Nothobranchius furzeri: one gene and its partners. The protein of the gene in region 7 purifies or fractionates together with the protein of the main gene of each other region. This does not show direct contact. Links are inferred from orthologs where the notes say so. Each region holds a gene or a part of one and is shown on either strand. Other genes may lie near its edges.

Region 1 (3,500 bases), on a different chromosome or scaffold from region 7:
ACCGAAAATTAATCGAACCAAGCCCTTCAAAACACTGAAACGAACCGAATACGAGTTTAGCGTACCGTTGCACCCCTAGTTTTTATTGGAAGAAATGGGATCCTATGGAAATTCTGCTTTCAATTAAATAATCAATTGGTGATTGTTCTTTTAGCTCTAACCTTTTTCTTGCAGCAAGCAGATTCTCCAGGATCTCCGGGAGAAGTCCTTTCCTCACAGAACTCTTTACAAACTGGTCACCTGTTGGAGTCTTGATGAAATCTTCAGATGATAATCTGCAGATGTACAGTAAAGCATTTTAAAAATTAACAGCTACAGCTAATGAGAACAATAACAAAAAAAAAAAAAAAACAACATGTTCACCCCAGTTTTTCTGCAGATCCTTTCTGCAGCAGCGTGGTGTAACAAAGGTTGTGAGCCATCATGATGGATGGATACAGAGACGAAAAGTCCAGGGTGGCAATAGGAAGGCTGTAATATCTACAAACCAGTTTTAATCAGACACACAGGAGGAGGAGTGTGGCTCCATACCAGCATAACCAGTAAATATGCCCCCACCCTTTCTCTGGTTCGATGACCGTAGCTCCAGTGTAGTCCTCCCCAATTTCTGTCTTTACTACCGGCATCACCAGGTCCTGTTTCATCGCCTAGAACAGAAAACACACACATTATTTTCTACACACACCCCAACATGAGCTGGAGCTGCACAGTTTGAGCCTTTCTGGCACTGATTTTGTAAAGAAACTGATATTATTCCAACGTACTGTTCTTTAAAGTCTAGTTGGAAGCAGCAGTAAATGCTTAGGCACTTTCTGAATATCATTTAGGGTTAGTGATGAATCCTTGCCTCATTCTGAGCTGCAAACCGAACAGCATCTCTCTCTCAGCCATTCAAGACAGCCCACTGACTATGCATGAGGTATTATGTGTGCATTTAAAAGCCAACCCCATGTTTATATGAATCCCTGCTGGATAAATATGTCTGATTCTCACAGAGCTGCACGGTCATGTGTGATCTGGTGGCATTTGTGAAAAAGCAAAAGTTTAACTGAGAATGAGAAGAGATCAGACGAACTACTGCCTCCACAGAAAGAGGACAGGCGAGTCGGGTAAAGTGTTATTCACCACTCGCTCCAATCTGGGTCTAAACCAGCTTCCACTTACTTTGCTCTTGTTACAGCTTATCAGATGTTATGGTAGGTAGCATCTACACAGAGACTCCAGGTGAGCCAGGCTCATGTCACAAGGTGAAAACACACAAGTGCACCTCTGTAACGTAAACAAAACCGTTTTGAGTTTGAGATTGTTTTTCCTCACCTGTCTCAACAGCTGAGACACGACTTTGATCTGCTGTCCTCTTGAGAGCAGGTAGGTGAGCGGTACTCCAGTCACTCTGGCCATCTCCATGTAGTTAATCACACACATGAGCTTCTGCAACAGCCGCAGCGGCAGATAGGCGTCTTTCAGACAGTAGACCGCCAGTCTACGCCGCGTTTGTTCATTTCCATTCTGGTGAGGAGGGAAACAGACGATAAGAGATTAAAAACTGAAAAAATATATATATGCATCTCTTGTTCTATCTCAACTCATCAAAGCAAGGCAATTATCTGACCTAACAATTTATAAAAGCAGTCAAACCTGAAGGGGCCATAACCCGACCCATGGACTCCTACCTGCAGATCGGTGATGATGGAGTGCTGCACGTCCTCCTTTTGCTCTTGCAGGAAATGAAAGCTTACAGCATTCAGAGTGTAGGAGCGTAGTTTGTAATCCCTAAGGAGGACCTGAGAGAATCACACAAACAGACATATCCTGAAAACATCACTCACAGAGCCTAGTGTAGAGTAACCAGAAGCTACATGCCGACCTGCAGCAGATCAAACTGGACTCGACCTTCCATGTTGATGGTTTTGTTCTCCCTGCGACCCATCTGCTTACTCTGGAAACTCGACTCTCGTAAAACGGACCGTTTGCCCCGCATTCGACCCAAGTACGGAAAATAAGTCACCTGGAAAGTCGTGAACATTTTACCAAAGGTGGAGGAGAAAACATAACATCTTTTTCAAAGCAAAGAGGGAGATTTCTTATATTTCAACACAGATTAAACGTGTCTCTGCCAAACCTTTAAAGCAGCTGCCCTGTTGAGCAAATAGGGAAAGTCAAAGTTCTGGATGTTGTATCCAGTTATGATGTCTGGGTCCACCGTCCTCAGAAACTCCGCCCAGCTCTGCTCACACAGAGACAAGATAACAGGACGGATAAGGGACACCGTAATAAAGGGACAAACCTCCCGGCGTGAGCCGTTACCTGAAGAAGCTGCTTCTCCTGAGTGAAGCAGAAGATCTGCGAGCCAACGATGCTAGCACAGGGCTGAAGGGTGAAGACGGTTCGGATGAAAGGCTCCGTCTCCCCCTGACGTTGGACCATAGATGCGATCTGAATCACAGGATCTTTGTCTGGTTCTGGGAAGATTCCTGGAAAGAAACAAATGCATCTTAAAAGAGTTTGTCAAAGCCTTGGAGACGTGTTTAAATCATTTACTGATATTTGGTACAATACAGAAGCCTTCGTATTACCTTTTCTTCCTGCACACTCGATGTCGAAGCTGAGGACTCTGAGAGGGGCTATCCTCTGCCAGTCTCCTTCTGCAGGGTGACTGATCAGATCCGTCCATCCAACATCCACCTCATACTGGCACAGCGAAACCTGCAGGGCAAAAGCAAAAATCTCAACCACCGCTCTAACATTCTTGATGTAAAAACAGAAAACAAGGAAAAAAATCTGTAAATCGGTAGTATGGTTGTCACGCAGATTACAGCACACACTATGAAGGAAAACAGGACCGACCTTTCCTGGATGCTGAGAATCTGTGTCCCCGTGGCTCTTCTCTTCGCGTACTCTGTACTTGCCTTTGGGAAGTTCGATCCAACAGCATCCCACAACATCGCTGTCCACCATGAACCTGGGAACACAGGGATGCTTTTAGGCTTTACAGCTCTGATTCACTTGTTTGTTTGTTTTCAATACATCTGCTGTGGTCTCTACTATAAATGAATGCCTTGTGTGTCGTTCTCTGTGAGAGGACAAAAGCTCTGGCGTTGGCGCTCCTGTTGCAGGAAGCAGAAGTTAGACGGAGAATGGTGGCGGAAAACAGCAGGATTTGGAATTTTACTCATTATCGTTTCCTGATATTCTGATCTCACCTCTGATTGGCTAACAACAACAACGTGTCTTCCACCACCTTTTTTTTTTTTTTTGTAAGTCTGAATGAGTTCTGCCATGTTGCAGAGATGCTAACACTAATGGTTAGCCTCTTCTAGCTGGGATGCTCTCTGCCCTCTCCTAGAGGCTAAACCAAGAACAGCCTTCCCTGTCATGAGCCAAGATGGGCGAGTCCATGAACGCTAATTTTCTGTGCGACATAGATCTGACTAGCTTTTCTAATCCGAGTCTTTCCCCATCTACTTTCTATCAGAAGCTAATGCAGGAAAAAGGGGTAG
Region 2 (3,500 bases), on a different chromosome or scaffold from region 7:
CTTCTCAAATTTAGCTTTTGATCCGCTCTAATTTCCCTCTGGGATTAATAAAGTATCTATGATCTGATTTCCTTCTGACAACATTTACACCCGGATCGCTCATCCCGGCAACATCACCTCACTAAAGGTTCCCTTTCCCTTTGGTTCTACAAACATGGGCTTCAGGATCTCGATGTGACTCGCTTGTCCCTTCGTCTGGAGAAACACACAAAAAGACAAATTTAAAATTCAAAAACCAAAGTTTCCTAATCGGAAGTTTCTACTCACTCTCCACAGCTCCAGGGTCTTCTCCATCAACAGGAACGACGGGAAAAAGACCAGGAGGCCGCGAGGAACCAAACGACAGAGGTTAGCTGAAACAAACTCACGTCAGGAACCCGAGACCAAAACGAGGAGAACCATCATCTAACATCTACCAGCTCAGAAAAGAAGCTCCTCCGCCTTTCTCAGAAACGGCTTTAATGTGGAATAAACACAACAGCTGATGTCAAAAACAGGCCAAATAAACCCGGATGTGAGCAAACAGCTCCACAGCAGAGAACCAGAAACACAACAACAACAACAACAGTCGTAATTAGTAAACATCTGAACAGAAAAAAAAGGCAAAATGAAAATAAATAATAATAATAAATCAAATAAAAAAACGATTCTGGGTCCAGTTCTCAGTTTAGTCGTCCGAGAGCTCGTTTTAATTATAAAAGCCGAGCGGACACGTTTAACCGTCGGCGACGCAAAAGCCTCTTCCTGTAGAATAAATAGAACATTTTCTTTTATTTGTGAATATTAGTGGATTCATACGGGCAAAAACTTCCTTCTGAACTGCAGGCGTCAGTAATGAGGAAACAACCCATCAGGAACGGCAGTAGAAGAAGAGTTGTACCAAAGCCAGCATGACTCAGCATTCCCAAACGTAACTGTCCATTTTACAGCTCGTGCTGAAGTTTACCGCTCTGGTAGGAACAAAACCCATACGGTGCTACTAAGTCATAACCCGGTGATCCGTCGGCCCTCGTTGGATCGGCCAAGCGGCCGCTAGCTTACGGGGCAACAGCGGTTTCACACGACTACGAGTCGGAGATTTGGTGACTTCAACAAGACTCAAATTCATCTGAAACCCAAACCGCTGAGAACTACAGGGAAGAGACGAATAAACCTGCATCAGGTTCATGAAACTAGAACGTCCCAGAAAGACCCGAACCCTACCAGCTGACTGATTTATAACACGGTAATAACAGCACAACTCACCAACAGTGTTGCCTAAAGACGCCATGACTTCAGGAATAAACCTGAAACGGAGAAATATTAAAGCAGCACAGCAAAAACACCTACTAGCAAAGCTTCATGTGAGAAAAACAGTTATTACTCCATATCTGTACAAATGATGTGTTCTGTTCTTTTGTTTACTTGTTTAAAGAAGACAAAGGTTGTTTTTAGGTCCGAAGCTTTACTCGTTAAAACAACAAAATGTTGAATTCAACACCTTCTTCTGCTGACCAGCGATAAAAGACGCTGATCTTACAGCTGGTCCTCGTTTACCTCCGATTAAACGCCGAGCTCAGCACCACCGAATCTGGACCCTGATCCAGGACTCGGACATAGATCTGGTCCCGGCTGATCACATGACCGTTTTCAAGAAGCACCGGGAAATCTCTAAAGTAAAACAAGGAAAAAGAAACGTGGTTTCATTCAACGCTCCTAAACAAACTAGAACGTAAAACTGAAACACTGAAGAGAAACGAGTCTAGTAAGACCGATTTAAACCTCGCGTGATTGTTTAGTAATAAATCTGAATCAGGGGGCATAACAAGTGCTCTAAAATCTCTCTTCCTTCCAGTTTTGAATATTTAACACGGATAACTTTAGTCAGAAATCTGATTTTAACAGTGAGCGGTGCACAAAACTAAGAATTACCACTTGGTTAAATTCAGCGTTTAAAAGCTGCTTCAGCTGCAGAAATGTTGTGCATCAACTGAAGTTTTAGGGACATTTTAGCATGAAAGTAGGTGCAAACGCCTAAATATCAGCCATGAAAATCAGCAATAAATAAATAAATAATCAGCAACACACGTCGGCCATCAGCTGACAGCGACCTCGAAGTATCGGCATCGGTACTGGCAATAGGAAAAACGATATCGGCCGACCACGAACCTGAATAATTAAATAAATGTCGCAGCAGGATTCCCCCCTCTGGAAACACACTTTATCTGCTTTATCTGATCAGACATCGGACTCGTTTGTTTTGGTGGTGAACTCACATCCTCATCTCAGAGGTGAAGGTGGTCAGAGGTGAGAGGGTCCCGCTGGTGAGAATGATGCAGCGAACGCCCTGGTTCACCAGCTCCTGCATGCTGAAGCCCGGTGAGAAGCACCAGTAACTCAGGATGTTTCCTACGGCGCACACGACACAAAAACACGCGTTCAAAGCTGCTTCACAGACGCAAACGCTGACTAACAAGATAGAATAAAGAGAAACTGTTCTCTCTCTTGGAAAGCTCAGCCACAAAATGTTATTCCAGGTCACTAGGAGTTCCACATGGAGTCTGGTTACTGAAGTTAAAGTTCTGAATGTTGTGAACTGACTGACCTTGTTTCTTGGACGAAGCTGAAGCCCACGGATCAGCCGCTTGTTTCTTCTTGGCAGCGCTGGTGTCCCGATGGATGTGAACCTAAGTCAGATGGACCATAACGGCTAACGTTAGCGTAGCATAGTGGCCATCGACATACATGAGGACAAAAATCAGGTTTTAGGTGTTTTATTCACTAATGGGTCAAACCTGTAGGAGACTAAAGCAGCACGTTGCTACGATCATGACCCAAACATGCACCGAGGAATATTATAATTAAATATAAATACGGAGTCGTTCATTTCCAGCTTTGGTGTGTGAAACTAGAACTAAGGAGGAATGTTCTGCACACCACTCACCCAGAAAACCTGGATTAGTAGAATAAAAATAGGTGTGTGTGTATAAAAAACAGGTGTGTGTGTGTGTGTGTATAAAAATCAGGTGTGTGTGTGTGTGTGTGTATAAAAACCAGGTGTGTGTGTGTGTGTGTATATATAAAAACCAGGTGTGTGTGTGTGTGTGTGTGTGTATAAAAACCAGGTGTGTGTGTGTGTGTGTGTGTATAAAAACCAGGTGTGTGTGTGTGTGTATAAAAACCAGGTGTGTGTGTGTGTATAAAAACCAGGTGTGTTTGTGTGTGTGAATGAAAACAGGTGTGTGTGTGAATAAAAACAGGTGTGTGTGAATGAAACAAGTGTGTGTGTGTGTGAATGAAACAGGTGTGTGTGTGTGTGTGTGTGTGTGTGTGTGTATGTGCGTGCATCCGTGTGTGTGCGCATCCATGTATGTGTGTGTGTGTGTGTGTGTGTGTGAGAATGAAAACAGGTGTGTGTGTGTGAATGAAACAGGTGTGTGTGTGTATAAAAACCAGGTGTGTGTGTGAATGAAACAGGTGTGTGTGTGTGTGAATGAAACAGGTGTGTGTGTGTATAAAAA
Region 3 (4,092 bases), on a different chromosome or scaffold from region 7:
CAGTGTGGTATGGTGGGTGTAAACTCAACACCTACCGTGCTTTCTGCATCATTGACCTATTTAAAAAATGACAAAAGCACAAAAAGTAGTCATTAGATTTTTCTGAGCAGCAAACCTGGGCTTAACTATTGAAATCTTGTCAATAAGTAGACTGATTTTACGCCTGTGCTCTAATACGTTTGTTGACCTGCAAATATGTGTTGTTTTATAAAAAGCTCAGCCAAAAATAAATACAACTGCAATCTGAACCTTCTTCGCCCCCTGGTGAGGTCTTCATTGACTCTTCTGCAGCTCACCTACCAGCCAGGTATTAGGAGCGATGCCACCGTCCACTGAGCTGTGGCCCAGCCGGAGCAGCCTGGAAGCACTGTGAGGACCAGGCTTACTGATTTCTTCAGTGCTTTTAACACCATTCAGCAGTGAACTCGGACATAAGCTGGAGCTTCGACACATTTGTATTATCTTCTTTAAAATGTTTATTTAGCTTGATATGTTTGCTAGTATACAAGGCCTGAAAACACTATTAAATCATTTTGACAATTACATTTGGCAAATTCAAATGTCAATATTTTACCTCCAGGAGATGATTCGTGCCTTTATCAGCATGACAATTGACTACTGTAATGTTCTTCATGTTAGTTTCCTACAGCCGTCCATGAAAATGCTTCATTTGGTCAAAAAATCAGCCACTCACCTTTTAAAAGACACCTCAAGATGTGCGCCCATAGCTCTGGTTTTATTTTCCCTCCACTCGCTTCTGTTTGTTTTGGGAAAGATTTTAAACTTTTGTTTGTTTTAAAGCTCTTAATTGTTTGGCCCCACCTTACGTCTCAGATTAACCGAGTGTCCGTGTCAGATCGCTGAGGTCTTCATCTCCATTTCTCCTCAAACTTCCAAGAACTACATTTAATCACTGGGGTGACTGAGCTCTCGGTTGTGTCGCCCTGGAACCAGCTACCTTTAGATTTACGTGTGGTCACTGACCTGAGCCATTTTCTATCCAAACTTAAAACTTTATTAATCAAAAAGGCTTTTAGCACTTTGTAGCATTGTGTTATTCTAGTTTATTCCTCACTTTCTACTAAGGGGGTGCAGCAATTGCAGTTTTTGGCTGACCACCGATCTTGAGAAAAATCTGTCAGTTCCTTAAGACTTTCATTTTTCTAATTTTGAAAACAAAACTTTTGACACACTTGTCCAAATAATTTTTTTATATCAATGATTTGCTTTAACATTAACAAGGGGGGAACCAATTGCAGTTTACGGTCGATCCTCGATCTTGAAAAAAAACCCGAGATCAGGGCCAATAGATCGATGCACCTCCACTTTTTACTGATTCTGTCTCTTTGTTCATTGTTTTTCATTTGAACAACACTTTGATGATCTGGACATATAACCTTTAATGTACTATATAAATCCAATAAATGAAACTGATATTTTACACGGAATTTGGGACAAATGTCAGTAGCGTAAAAGGACCAAAGTGTCAAACTTCGACTTGATCCCTAACCTATTTAAAAAAATATGGAGAACTTGTGAGTGGAAGACGTCTGATATTGGTTTTTCCATTGCCGATACCGATGTGTAGGAGATATGACCAGCCGATAATGGCCGATATTTGTTTTGGGCTAATTTTATATACACATTTTCCACTTAATGATAAAATGTCACTAATAACATCAACTGATGCACACAATTCTTAAGCTGAATCAGTTTTTGAACACTGAATTTAACTAACTATTAAATCTTAATTTTGTGCTCTGGTCAGTGTTAAAGTCAGACATCTAAATAAAGTTAATCAAACAAATTTATGAATTGACCAAATATTAAATATTCAAAGCTGGTAAATTATAGTTGAGAAATAGTGAGAATTTATTATGCAGATGTTATTCAGGAAGTAAAAAAGTATTTTAAATTAAATTATGCAACAGCACCAAGCTGCCCTAAGATGTGCCTGCCTTAATCAGTTTAACTAATACGTTTTATAGGCTGACGCCGATATATTTATAGGTAAATATCGCCCAGCTATATCAGTTTATCCCTACTGGTGAGCACATTAGTTTTGCTCACATTTATCCCACCATATTAAATTTCCTTTTTTGTTTGGTTTTACAATTAATAAATTAGACTCAAATGAGAGGACATACCTTGACTCGAACTTGTTCCACCACATTGAGTTCCTCAAGAGACAAAGGATGTTCTGGATCATTGATGGATCGGATCAGATGTAACTTCAGTTAAAGAATTATTTAAAATATATAATAAACAGCTTTTCTCTTTGATGTGTAATCGATGCAGTTGTAGATAATAATATAAGCCACTCTAAACATAATGTATGTCTCCCGTACTTCAGTGGTCAGGCTTTTATTTTAATTCGCTAGATTTCTCTACGTTTTCCTAAGGAAATGTACCATTTAATCATCTGAGTAAAATAAACGTTTCTTTGCGCCTCTCAGTAGTTAAATTAGCCTAAACCAGAGAAAGGGATCGAGGATATCGAATATTTCTCTGTCGTCGATGAGGTCGTGAACGTCTTCATCCTCTTCGGACGCAGTCAGCGGCCTGTCCCTGCAGCGCTGGAAGATCACGGGGTTTGCGTTTTCCATCTGGACCCCTCGGGACATTTTAAAGTATGATTTAGCCCAAAATAAACTTAAAAAAACACTCCCAATCTGAAAAACTTCTCTAGAGCTCCAGTGGTTTACTTCCGGGATAAACGGGAAATGACGTGTGACGTCATGAACTTCTTAAAGAAACAGCGCTCATCCAGTGAGAAAAACACCCTGAAACAAACCAATAAAATAAAGGCTGGAATTCTGCTAAAAGTCGTAGATTTAAACGTTTGCTTCGAAAAACACCCGACCAAGTTAAAATATGTATTTTCTATAGTAATAAGAATTTTAAATAAATGCAACAAATGTAACTGTCACTTTTTAATTGATAATTTTGGTGGATTAATGTCCTACCAGTAAGAAAAGTTAAATAATGAAAGACACATTCTTTGAAAAATTTTCAAATAATCAAACGCACCCTGATTGTTGATATCAATTAAGCCTCATCATGATAAATATGAACGTTATTCTGATTAAATATGCCGGTGAAGGTTCTCAGTGATCCAGGTCATGGGTTTAAATGAAGGCAACTGGACTTCTTTGGATTCTTGAAGACGTTTCGCTTCTCATCCGAGGAGCTTTTTCAATTCTAACTGAAATATGGGAGAGTCAACTGTATGAATGCTGTACTAAAGCAAACCAAACAAGTCCGGACATATTATTTTAAATTGTTGAATATTTTGCAGGAATAAACTTAAAGGAAAGGATTACAGAGTCAGGAGCTTTCTTTTCTTGTCTTTATTGAACACACGCCAAAAGAAACAACTTATCTGAAGTGCAACAACCTCTATGGTTTCTATTTTGTTAAATAAAGTTTTTAAACAGCCTCTTTTCCTTGAGGATCACTTTTAACATAGAACTTGCACCCCATCTTGTGGCATAAAAACGTATCACACATTGCTACATGATACAAATAATTCATCTCAGAACCTTAACGTGTTTGGACCATCGACATAAATAGGTTTGGACCGACAAGACAAGACAAGACAGCTTTATTTATATAACACATTTCCCACACAGAGGCAACTCAAGGTGCTTTACAGCAGTAAGAACAGACAAAACACACAAGCACAAAAATGAACTATGGAATTAGATATACTAAAACTAGAAGACTAACATAATAAAAAATTGAGAAAAGAACTAAATGTGGTCAGCTGAAGGTGTCAGGAGACTAAAACTAAGGCAGTAAAACTGCTACAGTGTACTATAGACAAACATTGTTGAAAACCAACAGAATTTCAATGCTTTAAGTAGAAAAGAGGGCTAACCAGGAATTACAATCACCTACAAAAAATACATTAACAAAGGGTTGCAGCGGATTACTAAAACTTAGAGTATTGAGGCAGACCCAAACTAAAGCAGTGAAACTGGTACAATGAACTACAGGAAACATTGATGAGTTAAAGTAGAAAATTAACAGAAATTCTACACTATGAGTATTTCTGTTACCAAAATGTTTAAAGTATGTTTAGTGGCTTCT
Region 4 (3,500 bases), on a different chromosome or scaffold from region 7:
CCACACAGTCCATGGACTGACTGCAGTAAATGCTGAGTTCCCATCTTTTTGACTCCATGGTAGTAGCGACACGAGCGCCCCTGTAAGGCACACATTTAACAGCTTCATTCAGAGAAGTGGTGATGTTAAACCAATTTGCCAAAACTGGTTTATATCTTAATAAAATGTGTGGGTCTACAAAGGTGGTCAAAGGTTAAGAAACTCTGGTTTCAAAGTTTGTTTAATTTTCCGCCAGATGTTTCTATGGTTACTGGAGTAGAACCACTCGAGGTTTCAAAGGTTTTTTACTGACAATTACAAGAAGTTGACCCAAATATTAAATATTCCCAGTGTTTGGGCCTCTTGTCATCTAATAATGCTACAAATATTTTAGTTGCAGACATTCTGGACTCAGAGTGAACTTCTCCCACTCAGAAACTATAAACAGAACTCACAATGACCTTCTACTGCATGGAACCATCAAAAACACTTTTTACACATATCTGTAAGTTTAAACATTTTATTACTATGACCCTGGTCAATGTGGCAAAGTCAAAAGCAGAGCTACGACTCATCTTCTACAGCTGATCATCTGCTCATCACACTTGAGCATTGGAAACATCTGGAAGCCCAGTTTTATCAGGCTGGCTTTATGACCATACAACAATACAGCATATTAATTATTAACTATTAACATTAAAACAAAAATAACTGAGTTTTTATTTTAAAGTATTTTATGTATTTTTCCGTGTACAGCTTACACGTTCAGACATTGATACGGTGCATGTAGCCTATCCTGCAGCTAGTCCTGACTACTACAAGTAGACGTGTCCTCTTAGATGTCCCACCCTGTTCTTTGTGACTTTAACAGCTTAAGGTGACACTGTCACAAAAACACTTCACATAGGTGGACCCGGCTACAGACAAAGCAATCATCTGTGGATAATATGGTCCTCTTCTCTTCGAGCTGTGCTAAGCATGGACCTTTCATAGACACCAAGCCCTGGTGGCAGAGTCACACAGCTGTTTTGAGGGTAGGGGTGTGTGTGTGGGAGGGTGGGGGGGTGTTAAGGCCTCCAGCTACCCTCAGAACAACTCTGACCAAAGTGTCCAGGAAGCTGTTGTGTTAGGAGCAGTTTCTCTGTGCATCAGAGTCAGTACTGCAGCATAACCTGACAATGACTGAACCAGACCCTTAGGTCACACACACACACACACACACACACACACACTCAGGGTGTCAGTGACACCTGCTTATGTGTGTGTGTGTGGGGGGGGGGGGGGGGGGGGGGTTATTTCGAGGGCAGCTTTTCATGACAAAAGTGAGATGATTGCTATGGGAGGCTAACACCTCTAATGACAACATAATTGTCTATATTACAGTAGGCGCCCGAACTTCAGGACATTATAGGAGGTTACAAGTGTATCACATCTCCAAAAATGGTCCTTGATATTCTAGAGTGTCAAAAAAGTTCTGTCAACCAATTGTGTATAATTGCTTCTCTGAGGCTATGTGTTCATTATGTGACTCTCCTCAGTGTTAGGTGTGTCAGTAACTGCATGTCCCACACTTCCTGATGAATCTTTGTTGTTTTTCACATGATGTTTTGTGTGTGTGTGTGTGTGTGTGTGTGTGTGTGTGTGTGTGTGTCCGTTCCTCACCTCTTTGTCCTCCAGCAGCTCCTTGCACAGCTCGTTGCGGTTGAAGTGAGGTACCACATCTGAATGAACACAGGTGTGCTTTCTGCTGGACAAGATGGTCATCTGTACGCTGGAGTACGCTGTGCGCTTCAGCTCATGTGCAATCTGAGTAATCTGTTTATGGGTGCGTGTGCCAAAGAAAATCTTTGGAATCTTCTTTTTGCCATCTTTGTCCTTCACACCATCTTTGGCTGAGGCACAAGGGCAGTGGGAGCAGGGCTCAGACATCTGGACACACACACAGAACAGGTTCACTGGATGTTCTCAACATCTCATCACGTACAGCGCTAGAGTGGTGGTGTGGGTCTGGCTTACTGGGTGGGGTTCAGCTATACACACCTGTAGGATCATTTTAGACATTTATCTGAGCTTACTTCCCAATAAAGACACATTTCAAATACGTGGCCAAAAAGCACAACATTACTTTTCCTCCTGGTTTGTTGTGTTTCCACTAAGGTCTGAGCTACGTCAGCAGTGAGTGCTCTACGTCCTCCCTGAAAGTCCCAGATTATGTCAAAGGGCCTACCTTCCAACCAGGGAGGTATACTAAAGATTGGTTTATGCTTGACGCGTCCGTGAGGTCCGCGCGGCTAAATTGCGTCATTTTAACAACCACACCCCTCCACCGCACCTCCGCACGGCCCAAAATTTCCGCACCGCGCACCTAGGAAATTTTCTAACCACGCGGACGGTCGGACGCGGAAAAACATCGCGGACTGGCAAGAACTAGTATGGCAGAGGTTTGTAAATACAGACATTTGTATGATTCAGCTCTCAGAGATCGCCATGATCAACATGTTAATAATTCTTGGAGAGAAATAGCTCGCACTGTTGGAAAAGACGAGGACGCTGTTAAAATTGCTGGAATGCCATGTTGTAAACAGTAATTTTTACTTCTACTATGGTGTAGTGTTGGATGCATGCCATAGAGCTCCATGCTGCCCCCTACAGCTTGGGAGAATATTGGCTCACCACAGAGACAAGCCGCATGAACCATAAATGCTGAGAGTTGTGAAGCGCGTTCCAGCCGCGAGCCGCATCACCAAGCGGAAAGTGAATGTGTCAAGCATAAACCCAGCTTAAGGCAGGGGTGTCGAACTCAAATTTGCTCTGGGCCAAAATGAAAAACTGGGACGAAGTTGCGGGCCAAACTCAATATTTTTTCAAAAGTGACTGCAAATGTGCACATTTGCCTTTACTACAGATATGAACGGTTGAACCTTTTCATTTGGAAACAAACTTAATTTTGCAGTAACACTGAATGTGGAGTACGGGCTGCATGACTTAACTTTTTTAAGTCAAGTAATTAAAATCGAGTCGACTTTGACTAGTCGTTGATGACGTCATACACCTGAAGTGGGTTGGTTCGCTGGAGTTTTTGACAATTAAAATTGCCCCCACATTTGCAACGTTAAACACAATGGTAGTTTCTGCATCTTTACTGTTCCCCTGCTTCAAACATAAAAGGAAATGAGCCAACATGAACGATCGCGTGTTAAATTAGTTTTTGAGGTGGCGACACCTAATTTGATAATGTTACTGTGGCCGTGCTCAGGATGCAGATGTCTGAAGCGTGTCAACGATCAGAGCTTTGCATGCACAAGCTGGTTAAGGTTAGGATGGGGGTGAGGGGAAGGTTAAATTGCAAGAGGGTAAAGGTCACAATTTGGTCAAATGTCTGTTTTTCCGCGGGAGTCAGATACGACGCGGTGGCACAGCGCGTCGCCTCCCAACACGCAGGGGCTGGTCACCTGCTGTCTTTTCCGAGGACTGCATCTTGTCTGTCATTATCACGTGACAGCGACTAGTCTTTGAAAGGC
Region 5 (3,975 bases), on a different chromosome or scaffold from region 7:
CCTTCCGATGGAAACGCTCCACAAACTCCCTCTGACTCTCCAACAGACTGAAGGTCCGACTGAAGCTGGTGTCAAACACGCAATGAACCCCTGCCAAAAGCACCCCCAGGAATAATCTTCAGATTATCTGCTTAGGTGTTGCATGATATAAAAACAGAAAAGGTCCACACCCAGGTTTTTGAGGTAAGCTGTGAGCCTCCTGCCTGCCTCACTGCTGCTGAGGTTGTAGTGAGCTGCCAGGGAGGCTCTGGACTGAGGCGACACCGACACAACTACAATCTTCTTTTCTGCTTCGTTAATCTAAATAATCACAACACTTATTGTATTAAGGTTAGACGGAATGCAAAACTTGCAAAACAAAAATGAACAAGCTCAGAGACACACGTCTACCTTGTTGTTGCGCAGCACTTTTAAAAGCTCCTCGTGGCTCTGCTGAGTGATGAGGACACTCTCAGCCGAGGTGATACAGCCACTGCAGGCCAGACAGTCGTTCAGTGTGATCTTGGCCTTCTCCAGCTTCTGCTTCCCACCATCCTGTAAACACAGGGTGTGTTCATTCAAACTTGGTTTAATAATTCTCAAACTGATTAAAGACTGAGCAAGGATACCCACCTGGTTGACCTGCACATAGCTGCCGTCATCTTCTATTTGGATTTTGGCCACAGATTTACCCTGTTTCTTCTCTACTTTGACTGGTTTAACACATTCCTGGAAAACACACCAATGTGTAAACCGCTATTGTAAATGAGATCAATCATCACATCCAAAAGCATCTGAGAAATATGACTAAGCACTATTGCATGGGGAGAATAATCTGAAAAACTGTAAAATTTACACAAAATTATCTGTTTTCATAAGAAAAAACAAAACATTACTGATTCATTTGGGTCTAAGAAAAATTTCATTACTTCATACTGAGAGTGTCCTCAATTTTTCAATTGTTTAATAAAAACAAAGGGAACCCCAAGGTGCTGTTTAACACCATCAGCAGCATTGTCTCTCCTGCCTCTCCTACAGCCTCCATCCACTCTGTTGCAGACTGTGAGAACTTTCTGTCTTTCTTTGTGGACAAAGTCAATAAGGTTAGATCTAGCATCTCTCCTTCAGCCTTACCGCTGCCTCTCCCGACTCCAACCAGGCCCATCATCCTAGATAGCTTTGCTCCTGTTTCTTTGCCTGAGTTAACCAAACTAGTTAACTCTATGAAGACCTCTGCATGCCCCCTCGTCATCTTACCCTCATCTTTGTTTAAAATTGCTTTTCAGTCCATCGGTCCCAGCGTGCGCTCTATAAATAATGCTTCTCTGGTTTCTGGTCAGGTCCCTGCTTACTTTAAGAATGCTGTAATCCATCCGCTTCTTAAAAAACCGAGTCTTGACCCCTCTCTCCATAGCAGCTTCAGACCCATCTCTAAACTTCCGTTCATCTCCAAGATCTTGGAAAAGGTTGTGGCTAAACAATTCACAGCTGCTCTTGATGAACATAACATCTATGATAGCTTTCAGTCAGGTTTTCGTAGAGCTCATTCTACTGAAACAGCTCTTCTTAGGGTCTCTAATGACCTTCTGACTCACAGTGATGCAGGGGACTGTTCTGTCCTGGTCCTGCTGGACCTGACTGCAGCCTTTGACACTGTTGACCATCACCTGCTACTGGAGAGGCTGAGAGACTGGGTCGGCCTATCAGGATCTGCTCTGGAGTGGTTCTCCTCTTATCTTTCTGAGCGCTCCTTTTCTGTGGCCGTCTCCAAGTTTAGGTCCTCCACCACCTCTCTTACCCATGGTGTCCCACAAGGTTCTGTGCTGGGGCCTCTGCTCTTCCTCCTCTATCTGCTCCCTCTTCAGCACATCCTGTGGCCCCCAGACTCTGGAACTCTCTCCCCCTGAGTCTGAGATCAGTGGACTCAGTGGTCTCATTTAAAAAGCAGCTGAAAACACACTTGTTCAAGCTGGCTTTGGTATGACCTTCTTCACCACTCTCTCTTTATTCTGCTCTCCCCACCTATTCCACCTTCCTCAGGATCCACTGATTTCCCTCTTTCCTACTCACTCTCTCTCTCTCTTTCTTAACATTTTGTTTTTTAATCACTAGTGTCTATTTCTTGCACATTTTAAATATATTTTTAACCATTTTCTAAATTCGTTTTTATATTTTTACATGTTTTGTTTTTGTGAAGCGCCTCCTGATTTTTATCTTGAGAGGCACTATAGAAATATTTTCTTCTTCTTCTAAAGAACTAGCTAAAATATAGTTTGTCTTTATTTGCCTATAACTGACATTTAGTGTGTTTAAAAATGTCTGAATATGTCAGCCAATACGATTGATTTAATTTAGTCTTTGAAAGTGTTTTATTTCAGTGATTTAATTTGTCTTTACACAGGTTACGGCATGGACTAGTGACGTAATTACGCCATAGTTTTAAAAAAGTAAAACTTTACAACTTGTTACAAATCAAAAAGTAATCATCGACTCGTGATGAGCTTCAGCCAATACTCAATGTTCCTATATTTTATGAGAAGTTTCTCTCTACGAAAAGCCTAATCGTGTGCTAGCTGCTACATCGCCATAATTAATCCGTCAATTGTTCCCTAAATGTCACGACCGGTGAATTGTTCATAATTACTGTTTCACCCACTTGTAATTAATCCAATACACGACTTAATTTCACATTATTTCAGTGACCGACCTGAGAAGGAGTGATAAAATCATCGAGATCTGTTAGCTGCAAGACTCCGCTGAAGTGGGAAGCCATGTTTACTACCGTAAAGTTGTTGTTTACTCTTGTGTCGTGAATACTGGGTTACAAGCTGTACAGTCTATGGTTACAAGACAGGCGTGATCAAACTAAATACCTCTTATCATATGTTAAATTATCATTCATTTTGGTCAAATGACAAACTATCAAATTTTTAATAATAAGTACCAAAAAAATGTATATTTAACTTTCTCTGTAACAATGGAACAAATTAAATGTAAATATCAGAGATGTAAAAATGTTTATTTTTTGTTTGTTTGTTTGTTTTTAACATTTGCCCAAATAACACTTGTTAGTTGTAGGACTGGACATGAAGACGTCCATAAGTAATATTTCATTTTATTCCTACAACAAATAGCATTACTTTTCTCTGTTGCTCATTCTAAATATAAAAAGTGCCTGTAGCTGAATGAAAAACAATAATTTATTTGTAGAGAAACATTTGGCCAAAATCATAGCCTATGAAAGCAACGCAGCAGAGTGAATCCTGTCTATTTTACTGAAGAAAAAATTAAGGTGACTAAAACGAAATCAGAAATGTTTAATTTCACTTTATTAGCTGTGAGAGAATCATGCACGCGCCCTTTTGTTGTTATGACTACGGGGTCGTAATCCGCCATGTTTTCCCTCCCCGCTGCAGCGTTGCGACAGAGACGGAGAATTCAAACGACATGAATGTGGAAAATAATCATACGGCAGAAACAGAGAAGAACGGCAACGAGACCATTACTATTCAGACCACACTAGGAGATGAAGGTTTGTCACCTGGCTGTATCAAACAAGCCGAATTTGTTTATCATTTAACGCGTTTGGGCTACGCTAACTTTCACCGAGGTGATGTCTAGCTAACAGCTAACTGACACGAGCAGCATAGTTTCGTATTTTTAGGTGGAAGTACACACTGTTTGGGGTGAATCAGACACGAATACATTAAACAGTAATCAGTTTGTGGCACTAATTATGATATTGGTTCATGCTGGTTGGGTCCGTTTCTGTGCTACTAGATGATGTGCACAAATGTGGTCGCTGCCAGTCCGAGTTCTCCACCCTTGAGGCTTTCATCCAGCACAAACTGCAGCACGGCTGCAAACGTGTGGAGGCTCAGAATGCTAGTCAGGATGGCGGCCAAAAGGTAGGAGCTATCTGGGTGGGGCTGTGTGGATAAATCAGTCTAAACGGCATCAAGAGAAGTAGCATTGGTGTCCTCATATATGCAGGTC
Region 6 (4,067 bases), on a different chromosome or scaffold from region 7:
ATGTGCAGGTCACACGATGCCCACACATGACTGAAGTCTCTGTTATTTCTGCCTCAGTCACATGATTTGCCACCAGATCAAAATAATAAAATTATGGATGGGGGTACTGTTGTATAAAAACCCACAAAACAGGCTCAAGGTTGTGTATCAAACTCATTTTTATTGAATGAACAAAATCATTAAATTCCCTTTACTGCTTACATTTTTATTTTCAGACTCCAAACTTCAGACACCAGCAAAAAGACGAACAGCTGATCCTGCCGACAAAGCGGGATCCCAGTGCAAGGAGGAGCAGGAGCACGTCCCAATAATAAAGATCAAATCTGTCTGTTCAATGGCTCCTCCTCACCCAGCCCCACTAAGACAGGTAAGACCTTAAACAGATCATTCAGATGTATTACCAACAACTGGTCATCTAACCTGCTTTAGATAGCTCTGTGAACAGCCTCAGCTAAGAGAAACAGACACACATTCTAACCAGGTATGGGGCCTAGGTTTAGGCGCTATTACAGTATTACCGTAAACAGCCGGTGTTAAAACTAGCAACCGTGTCAGTTCCGATACCGTCATGAGAAAAACAGTGCACGTAGGAGACAAGGATTAAAAAGGAAAAAACTAATAAAAAAGATAAATACTGTAAGTCATTTACTGTATAAAACGGAATTTTAAGTTTTACTTAAATCATTTTAAACGTTTTGGAGTTTTAAAAACTTTGAGACTTTCAATAAAGTTTATGAACGTGATGTCATCACGTGACAGCGCAGAGGATGGCGCGCCGAGGGAAAAATGGCCGCTCGCGTACCAGCTGACTGACTGCGGTGTGTAAAAACAACACAACTGCAGTTTTTGAAGTATTTCTGGTTAGAAGCAAACTTGAAGGAAAGCCAGTAAACATGGATGAGGTCATTTGTGCAAACAAAAGATAACAGCAAAAGATGCATGCTCCGTCGCAACAGCAGAAATAGCACCTTCATGTCACGAGCCTGTTATTAAGAGACAACAACGCACTTTTCTGGTGAACGATATGATGCCAGCCTTCCCCAGATGTCACGACTTTGGTCACGACTAGCACCAATGTACCCGTATGCCGGTGCCACAAGCTCATCAAAGCCGGTTTTCAGCAGTCGGAGGTTGAAGCCAGAAAAAGTAAACATGCTGGTTTTCCAGGCTTAAAATCTTTTTATAAGCTGCGTTCTTAAAAAGTAGTTAATATTATATGTGTTGTTATTGTTTTAGTTATGGTGTTTGTTACTCATTTTCTGAATGGTGGAGGTCCATACACCTTGGTAAAATGTGGAGGGAGCTAGATGGTATTAGAATTTGGATATCGCCCAAGCCTAATGGGGTTAGGTACATAAGTGGATTTCTGTCAATAGAAAAACAACCTCTAGTCTCAAAAATTTTACGCTTTTGACGTCATGAAATTAGCTTAGTTTTGCTTTTCATTTAGCGGCTTATCGTCACTGGGTGTTGTTGAGGTAGACCGTGTAGATTATATCGTTTAGACGAGGCTCTTCCCGTTAAGCACGTGCAGTTTGCATATATTGGTTGATTGTGTTTTTGGAACAACTTTGTAGCTGGAAGTGCTTGTGGACCTGGTACCGGGTCCGTCGGGTTCGAGTTGTGTGACGCATAAGAATGGTAATTTGGCACCTCTAGTGGTGATGTGTGGTTAAAGCATCTGAAAAATGCACCTCACCTAAAATAAAATTCACCAGCCACCGCTGCAATCGACACAGCTATGTAATGCTTTTCTTACACAAAATTCTAGTTATTTACAGCTGGATTTAAGGGGAGATTAGTGACTCTTTCAATCAGATTTCACGTTTATACCAGAATACTAGTGTAATGAGAAATTGATGAAGGTGTTGAGGTTTAAAAATAATGTGAATAGGTATTTGGATGAACAACTGTAACATTTTAGATTAAAACTTTTTTAAGGAGCAGAAATCCACCTTGTGAGAAGCTTCTCCCTACAGACTTTCAGATACCATAACACTGATTCACACAAATTAGCTGTTTGGGGATGTTGGACAACATTATTTTAAAATAAGACAGACAGACAGATCACTGAATTATGATTTTATTATACTTGAAGAAAATCTTCGATTATTTTACAAGGGAATTCCCTGAGATTATTACCCTCTGTAAATGTATTATTTTCACCAGAACAGAGCACTTTTTAACAAGTACCATAACTACTTGTAGTTTATCTTTTTCCATGATTCCACCCACCTAAACGTGCCTCTAATCAGAAGATTAGGCCATTAGCCAAATGTAACTAAGTTATTCTGAACACCTTTACGTTACTTACCTGTGCTGTAACGCCACCAGTCCCAGAGTCAGGACCTGGGCCACCTCCAGCTGCGTGGGCCACTCTCCGGCAGCAACGCAGCCGAAAACCCCACACTCCTCTCCGATACCGGACTCTTCGAACTCCATGATACCGCCACTATTGTATTTCTGCCCGTTCGTCCTCCGGTTACCCCGTTAACGCAAAACGAGCGGTCTCGTGCCTGCTCGCCCGTGAGAAATCAGCATGCGCGTGCACGTATTGTATTCAAACACGTGCTCACAACGTGGCCAACAACGTCAGGTGACACCGTTTAAACTTGCTATCACGAGCCAGAGCAGGGGTAGTCGATAGGTTTGTTTCAAACTGAAGCAACAAACCACCGGATGTTATCAGTAATTAATCAAGACGGACCTGAGTTGCGCTGCACAAACTAAAATGGTGTTACTAAATGTTTCTGGTGGGTCAAAGGACGTCCTGACTGCGAGGTTTGTAACAAATCAATTCCCTTATCCCAGAAAACATGGTGGCATGTCGAAGTTTTTCTCCTCGTTAAAGTTTGAGCATCCTCCACGTGATAGCAATCCACCACTGTGATTGGTTGGGTTAATCCGTTGGATCGATGTGATTGGCTGCGGCAGGGACGTAAGACGCCCCGCTTCTCTCCTCCTCCCGCTGCATGTCCGCGCGCCGCTGTTGTTGCTGCTGCGCCTAACAACAACTTGTGGGGCGTTTGTGGTTTGTCTTTCAGGGCATTTCAACCCCGACCAGCACCATGGCCTCCTCAGGTACCGTGCGAATATCCTGCACACGTTTGATGTTGCATTAAATCAAATTGTCTGAATGTTGCGTGTGCTTTCAGATTTAAACGTGGGCAAGAAGCTTAATGAGGGAAAGACCAAGCAGATTTTTGAGCTGGTGGACCAGCCTGGATTGGTCCTGGTCCAGTCCAAAGACCAAATCACAGCTGGGAACGCTGCGAGGAAGGACCAAATGGAGGGAAAGGCCTCCATTGCCAACAAAACGACGTGCTGCGTGTTCAAACTTCTCCAGGAATCTGGTGAGCGCTCGGTGAAGTTTTCTAACTGTTTATCCTGTTTTTGATAGCAAAGGTTCTCCTTAACAACTAACACTGAAGTCAGCACTGGAGCTGGTGTCCTTCATGGTGGACACTATTCCAAATTTAAGCCATTTGATCTTTGACTAACTGGATAATCAGCAGCCATGCACCACACGTGAGTTTGGTGCGTTAACCAAACCGTTGTAATGACAGTCTTGTGACTTGCAGTGTTCCCGCCATTAATTCACCATAACAACCCCAATCATGGCTTCCTTGACCAGAATTTAATTTAGGCTTGAGGTCAGTCTCGTGCTCAAATCTTTAAACTTTTACTGCATTTAATTAAAATATCAATTCTAAATTAAACGTGTCTTGTGGTTTCTCCAAGTGGAATTATTTAATCCCCTCTCAGAGTTGGAGATTATCTTAATACGACGCACATTTTTCCCCAGGCATTAAGACTGCCTTTGTGAAGCAGCACTCTGAGACGGCCTTCATCGCAGCCCACTGTGAGATGATCCCCATCGAGTGGGTGTGCCGCAGGGTGGCGACTGGGTCCTTCCTAAAGAGGAATCCAGGAGTCAAAGAGGGCTACCGCTTCTCCCCGCTAAAAATGGAGATGTTCTTTAAAGTAAGCCCAACTGTACCGCAGCAATTTCCTAATGTTGTTATTTCTCTCACATATGACAAGAAAACCCATCTGACTCTAAGCTG
Region 7 (3,500 bases):
GAATCAGAATCGGAAATCTTTAGGAACCAGAATTGAAACAAGGAATTAGAATCGGAATTGTTCAAATTCAAACGTTGCCCAACCGTAATCATGAATGGATGTAGAGACAGGCCTACGAATGTAAATAAGGTTTATGTCAGTGGTGTCCAAAGTGGGACACACAGGCTATTTGTAGCCCTCATGGGGATTTTGAACAGTCCTGGGTGGTTCTGATAAATAATCCACACTTGTGTAGCTCCTTTCAGAGTCAGAGGACTCCAGAGCTCTTTACTCTACAGTGTATCACAGAGAATTCAGCTGATGGAGAAAATAGCTTCAGACGACAAGATTTAGACTCTTATTTCCTGATATTTGTCATCTCACATCTGATTGGATAACAGCAACACATCTCTACCACTGACTCTGCTCTACAATGGTAATGTTTCATCTCCACAAATAGCACAAGCCTGGAGGAGTTCTGCTGTCTGGTGGAGTTCCTAATGCTAATAGTTAGCTTCTACTAGCCAAAACGTTCTCAGCTGTTTCCTGGGAGCTAAACCCACAAGTTATATGTGATGTTTTTTGTTGTATTATTTGTGTTTTATAAAACAAAAATATTTCTGTAACAAAATTTTGTAACATAAATTGACTGAAGTCTCTGGAGCTCATGCAGCAATATTTTATAAACATTTAAGCTTCTGTGAATTTCTGCAGGAATATGAATAGATTTCTGCATTTGGTTATAGTTAAACTTTAAATAACAATATTTTACAGCACTAATGTAATGATTGATGGCGGCGTTAACACGAGAAACACGCTTTAGTCTTGGCTGCAATTAGACTAGCTGTTAGCCCATCAGTCTTGTCAGATTTGAACTGTTTCTCTGAACAGAGGCTGTTCAGTAAGCTGTCCACAATGGGACATTATATGTCCTTTTTAAAAAGCTTAATCAAAGTGGCTTTTTTCTGCTTGACGTTCCATCAGAGCTGAAAGGTTTGGGAGCCGACTTTGTTTTTGGATTTGTCCAGTCAATGGACGGAGAGAGGGATCCCCGCAACCTCCTGTTAGCCTTCCAGATAGCCAACAACATCATTCTGGGAGGATACAGTCTAGGTGAGGATCTTCTCACCGCACCATCCTCTGTTCCTCTTTTATTGTCACTGTTTCACCTTTTTACTTTCCCAATCAGGTAAATTCACAGAGGAGCTGTTCGAAGTGACGTCCTGCTACTTCCCCATAGACTTCACCCCTGTAAGTTCCTGTTCACTCAGCTGGTTGAGCTCATCACAGTTTGTTGCTGTCAGGCAAGACACTTAACCCCCCTTGCCTGCTGGTGGTGGTCGGAGGGACCGGTGGCGCCAGTGTATGGCAGCCTCGTCTGTCAATGCGCCCCAGGGTAGCTGTGGCTACATCGTAGCTCATCCCCACCAGGGTGTGAATGTGTGTGTGAATGGATGAATGACTGATTGCGTTGTAAAGCACCTTCAATCAATCTATTTATAGAGCGCCCTCCACTGCCTCTGCGGAAGCCCAAGGCACTGACCATGACATAGATTAAAATAAAAACAGATTGATAAAAAGTCCTAAAAACCACATACAAACATAAAAGCATGATGGAACACACACACACATATATATGTTAATATATGTATATATACTCTATGCCACATAGAGGATTTCACCTCGATAACGATAAATGGACGATAACTACAGGTATGCGCAGAAACAAAAGTTGTCCACTAGATGGAGCTGTGGCGTGTTTTAGTTGAGTCACATTTTTACATGACTCAAGGTGGTGCAGCGTCTTAAAGGTACATTAACGCTGCCAACCTACATACATCTTTTAATTTCTTATTATCAAATTTATTGACATGGGAACAATTATCTCGATAAGAGTCAGAAATTTAGATAACGATACATTTTTTATTTATTGCCCAGCCCTATTATATATACATCAGAGAAGGATAAGAAAAATAAAAACAAGTCACATAAAAGCCAAACGATAAACATGAGCCTTCACGTGACTCCTGGCCTGTATTTGACTCTTGAAGACAACAGGTGAGGGTGACTGTTTGATGCCAAGTGGCAACTCATTCCAGAGGGATGGAGCCAAGACCGAGAAAGCCCGATCTCATCTAGATCTGTACCGGGATTGAGGAACAGTCAGTAGCTCCAGCTCAGCCGAGCGTAGAGATCGTGAAGGGGTGTGACGTGTTAATAATGCTGCAAAGTATGGTGGAGCACCACCATATAGAGACCAGAAGACAAAGCAAAGGACGTTCAATAGACCACAGGAAGCCAGTGTAACAATGCCAGCACAGGAGTAATGTGCTGAATTTCCTCGTCCCTGTCGGCAAACGTAGGGGGTTCCAGGACTCTAGAAGGTGCTATATCAAATACAGGCCATTTACCATCACTGATGTTGGCAGAACAGACCGACTCTGGAGCAAAAAACTAAACCGTTTAGCGTAGGGATGGACAATATATCGGCATCAATGTCGGTATCGGCCGATTTTAGTCATTTTTTAACATATCTGTATCGGTTTGATAAATAAAACCGGGCCGATATTAACGACCAATATTTTTTCCATCTTGTCTTCATTTGTTTGCCTGTTTCAGAGGGTGAGGGGGTGATGTGTCTATGTTTAGTCATGTGAACAGTGAATGAAATCATCTCAGAACCATAAATGTGTGTGGTGTGTGTACATAATAATGTAAATTTGGCTTTAATAATTTTCGTTTTATACAAAATTACTGATTTTAGAAGCATTAATGTCAGTATTTCTGCATCTGCAAATATCGGTTATTGGCCATAGCAGTGATCTTAATATTGGATATCGGTATCGGCCCAAAAATGTTCATATCTGTGCATCACTAGTTTAGAGTCAAAGAGCCTCACACACACGCGATTGCTCTCAGGATTCTTTACTGTTGGAGGACACAGGACTGATGGGAGCACTCATCTTTTTTTCTTCAGGGGCTCCAAACAATCAGAAAATTATCCGTCATTTAAAGAGACTTGCATTCCAGTCTCTGAAGCTTTAGCAGAGCACGAGCCAAAACAAATCCTACACACTAGTTTCAGATATTCAGTAGATTCGTAATAAGTGAATCATTTTGGTTCATCTGATTGTATTTGACATTTTATCACCACTTGTTTAAGCTTTTCTTGGGTTTAATTTCCTGTAAATTATCTTGTTTTTTTCCTCTCTCTTCTTGTGACCACCTCTCACCCTCTCCAGCCCCCCAACGACCCCCATGGCATCACCAAAGAGGAGCTAATTCTGGCTCTGAGGACCGTCCTCACAGGGACTCCCAGCTTTGCAGAGGTGGGGCGGTATCGTGACATGACGATTATTCATTATGGTACAATTTCAGGATCTAAAAATGTTCTTGTCCATTTCCAGTTTCTGTTGCCACTCATCATTGAGAAGATGGACTCGGACATTCAGAGTGCAAAGCTGGATTCACTGCAGACTCTTGTGAGACTGACTACAGCCGCAGCTTAGAGAAGAATAAGC

What was found.
Region 1: the proteins of mms19 (region 7) and pold1 purify together in Homo sapiens (affinity purification with western blotting; 3 studies listed by BioGRID and IntAct, with this or other methods). This does not show direct contact. The link is inferred for Nothobranchius furzeri from reciprocal best matches to the Homo sapiens genes MMS19 and POLD1.
Region 2: the proteins of mms19 (region 7) and rtel1 purify together in Homo sapiens (affinity purification with western blotting; 4 studies listed by BioGRID and IntAct, with this or other methods). This does not show direct contact. The link is inferred for Nothobranchius furzeri from reciprocal best matches to the Homo sapiens genes MMS19 and RTEL1.
Region 3: the proteins of mms19 (region 7) and ciao2b purify together in Homo sapiens (affinity purification with western blotting; 11 studies listed by BioGRID and IntAct, counting the BioPlex papers as one, with this or other methods). This does not show direct contact. The link is inferred for Nothobranchius furzeri from reciprocal best matches to the Homo sapiens genes MMS19 and CIAO2B.
Region 4: the proteins of mms19 (region 7) and brip1 purify together in Homo sapiens (affinity purification with western blotting; 3 studies listed by BioGRID and IntAct, with this or other methods). This does not show direct contact. The link is inferred for Nothobranchius furzeri from reciprocal best matches to the Homo sapiens genes MMS19 and BRIP1.
Region 5: the proteins of mms19 (region 7) and narfl purify together in Homo sapiens (affinity purification with mass spectrometry; 3 studies listed by BioGRID and IntAct, with this or other methods). This does not show direct contact. The link is inferred for Nothobranchius furzeri from reciprocal best matches to the Homo sapiens genes MMS19 and CIAO3.
Region 6: the proteins of mms19 (region 7) and ppat purify together in Homo sapiens (affinity purification with mass spectrometry; 3 studies listed by BioGRID and IntAct, with this or other methods). This does not show direct contact. The link is inferred for Nothobranchius furzeri from reciprocal best matches to the Homo sapiens genes MMS19 and PPAT.

Annotation. Positions count from the first base shown.
Region 1 is NC_091752.1:51,276,356-51,279,855, reverse strand, and holds part of pold1 (DNA polymerase delta catalytic subunit), read right to left. Parts: intron 2,963-3,500; coding exon 2,848-2,962; intron 2,707-2,847; coding exon 2,577-2,706; intron 2,475-2,576; coding exon 2,308-2,474; intron 2,228-2,307; coding exon 2,123-2,227; intron 2,009-2,122; coding exon 1,868-2,008; intron 1,785-1,867; coding exon 1,674-1,784; intron 1,510-1,673; coding exon 1,318-1,509; intron 648-1,317; coding exon 559-647; intron 481-558; coding exon 364-480; intron 276-363; coding exon 162-275; intron 1-161. UniProt on the Homo sapiens protein: As the catalytic component of the trimeric (Pol-delta3 complex) and tetrameric DNA polymerase delta complexes (Pol-delta4 complex), plays a crucial role in high fidelity genome replication, including in lagging strand synthesis, and repair.
Region 2 is NC_091755.1:45,470,236-45,473,735, reverse strand, and holds part of rtel1 (regulator of telomere elongation helicase 1), read right to left. Parts: intron 2,667-3,500; coding exon 2,585-2,666; intron 2,389-2,584; coding exon 2,256-2,388; intron 1,651-2,255; coding exon 1,537-1,650; intron 1,287-1,536; coding exon 1,246-1,286; intron 354-1,245; coding exon 268-353; intron 196-267; coding exon 118-195; intron 1-117. UniProt on the Homo sapiens protein: A probable ATP-dependent DNA helicase implicated in telomere-length regulation, DNA repair and the maintenance of genomic stability. Acts as an anti-recombinase to counteract toxic recombination and limit crossover during meiosis.
Region 3 is NC_091752.1:28,659,461-28,663,552, forward strand, and holds the start of ciao2b (cytosolic iron-sulfur assembly component 2B), read right to left. Parts: upstream 2,801-4,092; 5' UTR 2,625-2,800; coding exon 2,498-2,624; intron 2,228-2,497; coding exon 2,148-2,227; intron 57-2,147; coding exon 1-56.
Region 4 is NC_091753.1:22,952,023-22,955,522, reverse strand, and holds part of brip1 (Fanconi anemia group J protein), read right to left. Parts: intron 1,909-3,500; coding exon 1,642-1,908; intron 81-1,641; coding exon 1-80. UniProt on the Homo sapiens protein: DNA-dependent ATPase and 5'-3' DNA helicase required for the maintenance of chromosomal stability. Acts late in the Fanconi anemia pathway, after FANCD2 ubiquitination.
Region 5 is NC_091752.1:55,723,568-55,727,542, forward strand, and holds the start of narfl (cytosolic Fe-S cluster assembly factor narfl), read right to left. Parts: upstream 2,801-3,975; 5' UTR 2,753-2,800; coding exon 2,687-2,752; intron 709-2,686; coding exon 613-708; intron 535-612; coding exon 391-534; intron 301-390; coding exon 171-300; intron 91-170; coding exon 1-90. Other genes in the region: transcription factor E4F1, read left to right, coding at 3,328-3,511, 3,760-3,887, 3,973-3,975.
Region 6 is NC_091748.1:40,604,852-40,608,918, forward strand, and holds the start of ppat (amidophosphoribosyltransferase), read right to left. Parts: upstream 2,801-4,067; 5' UTR 2,443-2,800; coding exon 2,315-2,442; intron 368-2,314; coding exon of another isoform or gene 216-367; intron 1-215. Other genes in the region: paics (bifunctional phosphoribosylaminoimidazole carboxylase/phosphoribosylaminoimidazole succinocarboxamide synthetase), read left to right, coding at 216-367, 3,045-3,081, 3,156-3,353, 3,806-3,984. UniProt on the Homo sapiens protein: Catalyzes the formation of phosphoribosylamine from phosphoribosylpyrophosphate (PRPP) and glutamine.
Region 7 is NC_091756.1:28,170,986-28,174,485, reverse strand, and holds part of mms19 (MMS19 nucleotide excision repair protein homolog), read left to right. Parts: intron 1-963; coding exon 964-1,092; intron 1,093-1,168; coding exon 1,169-1,230; intron 1,231-3,221; coding exon 3,222-3,308; intron 3,309-3,386; coding exon 3,387-3,461; intron 3,462-3,500. UniProt on the Homo sapiens protein: Key component of the cytosolic iron-sulfur protein assembly (CIA) complex, a multiprotein complex that mediates the incorporation of iron-sulfur cluster into apoproteins specifically involved in DNA metabolism and genomic integrity.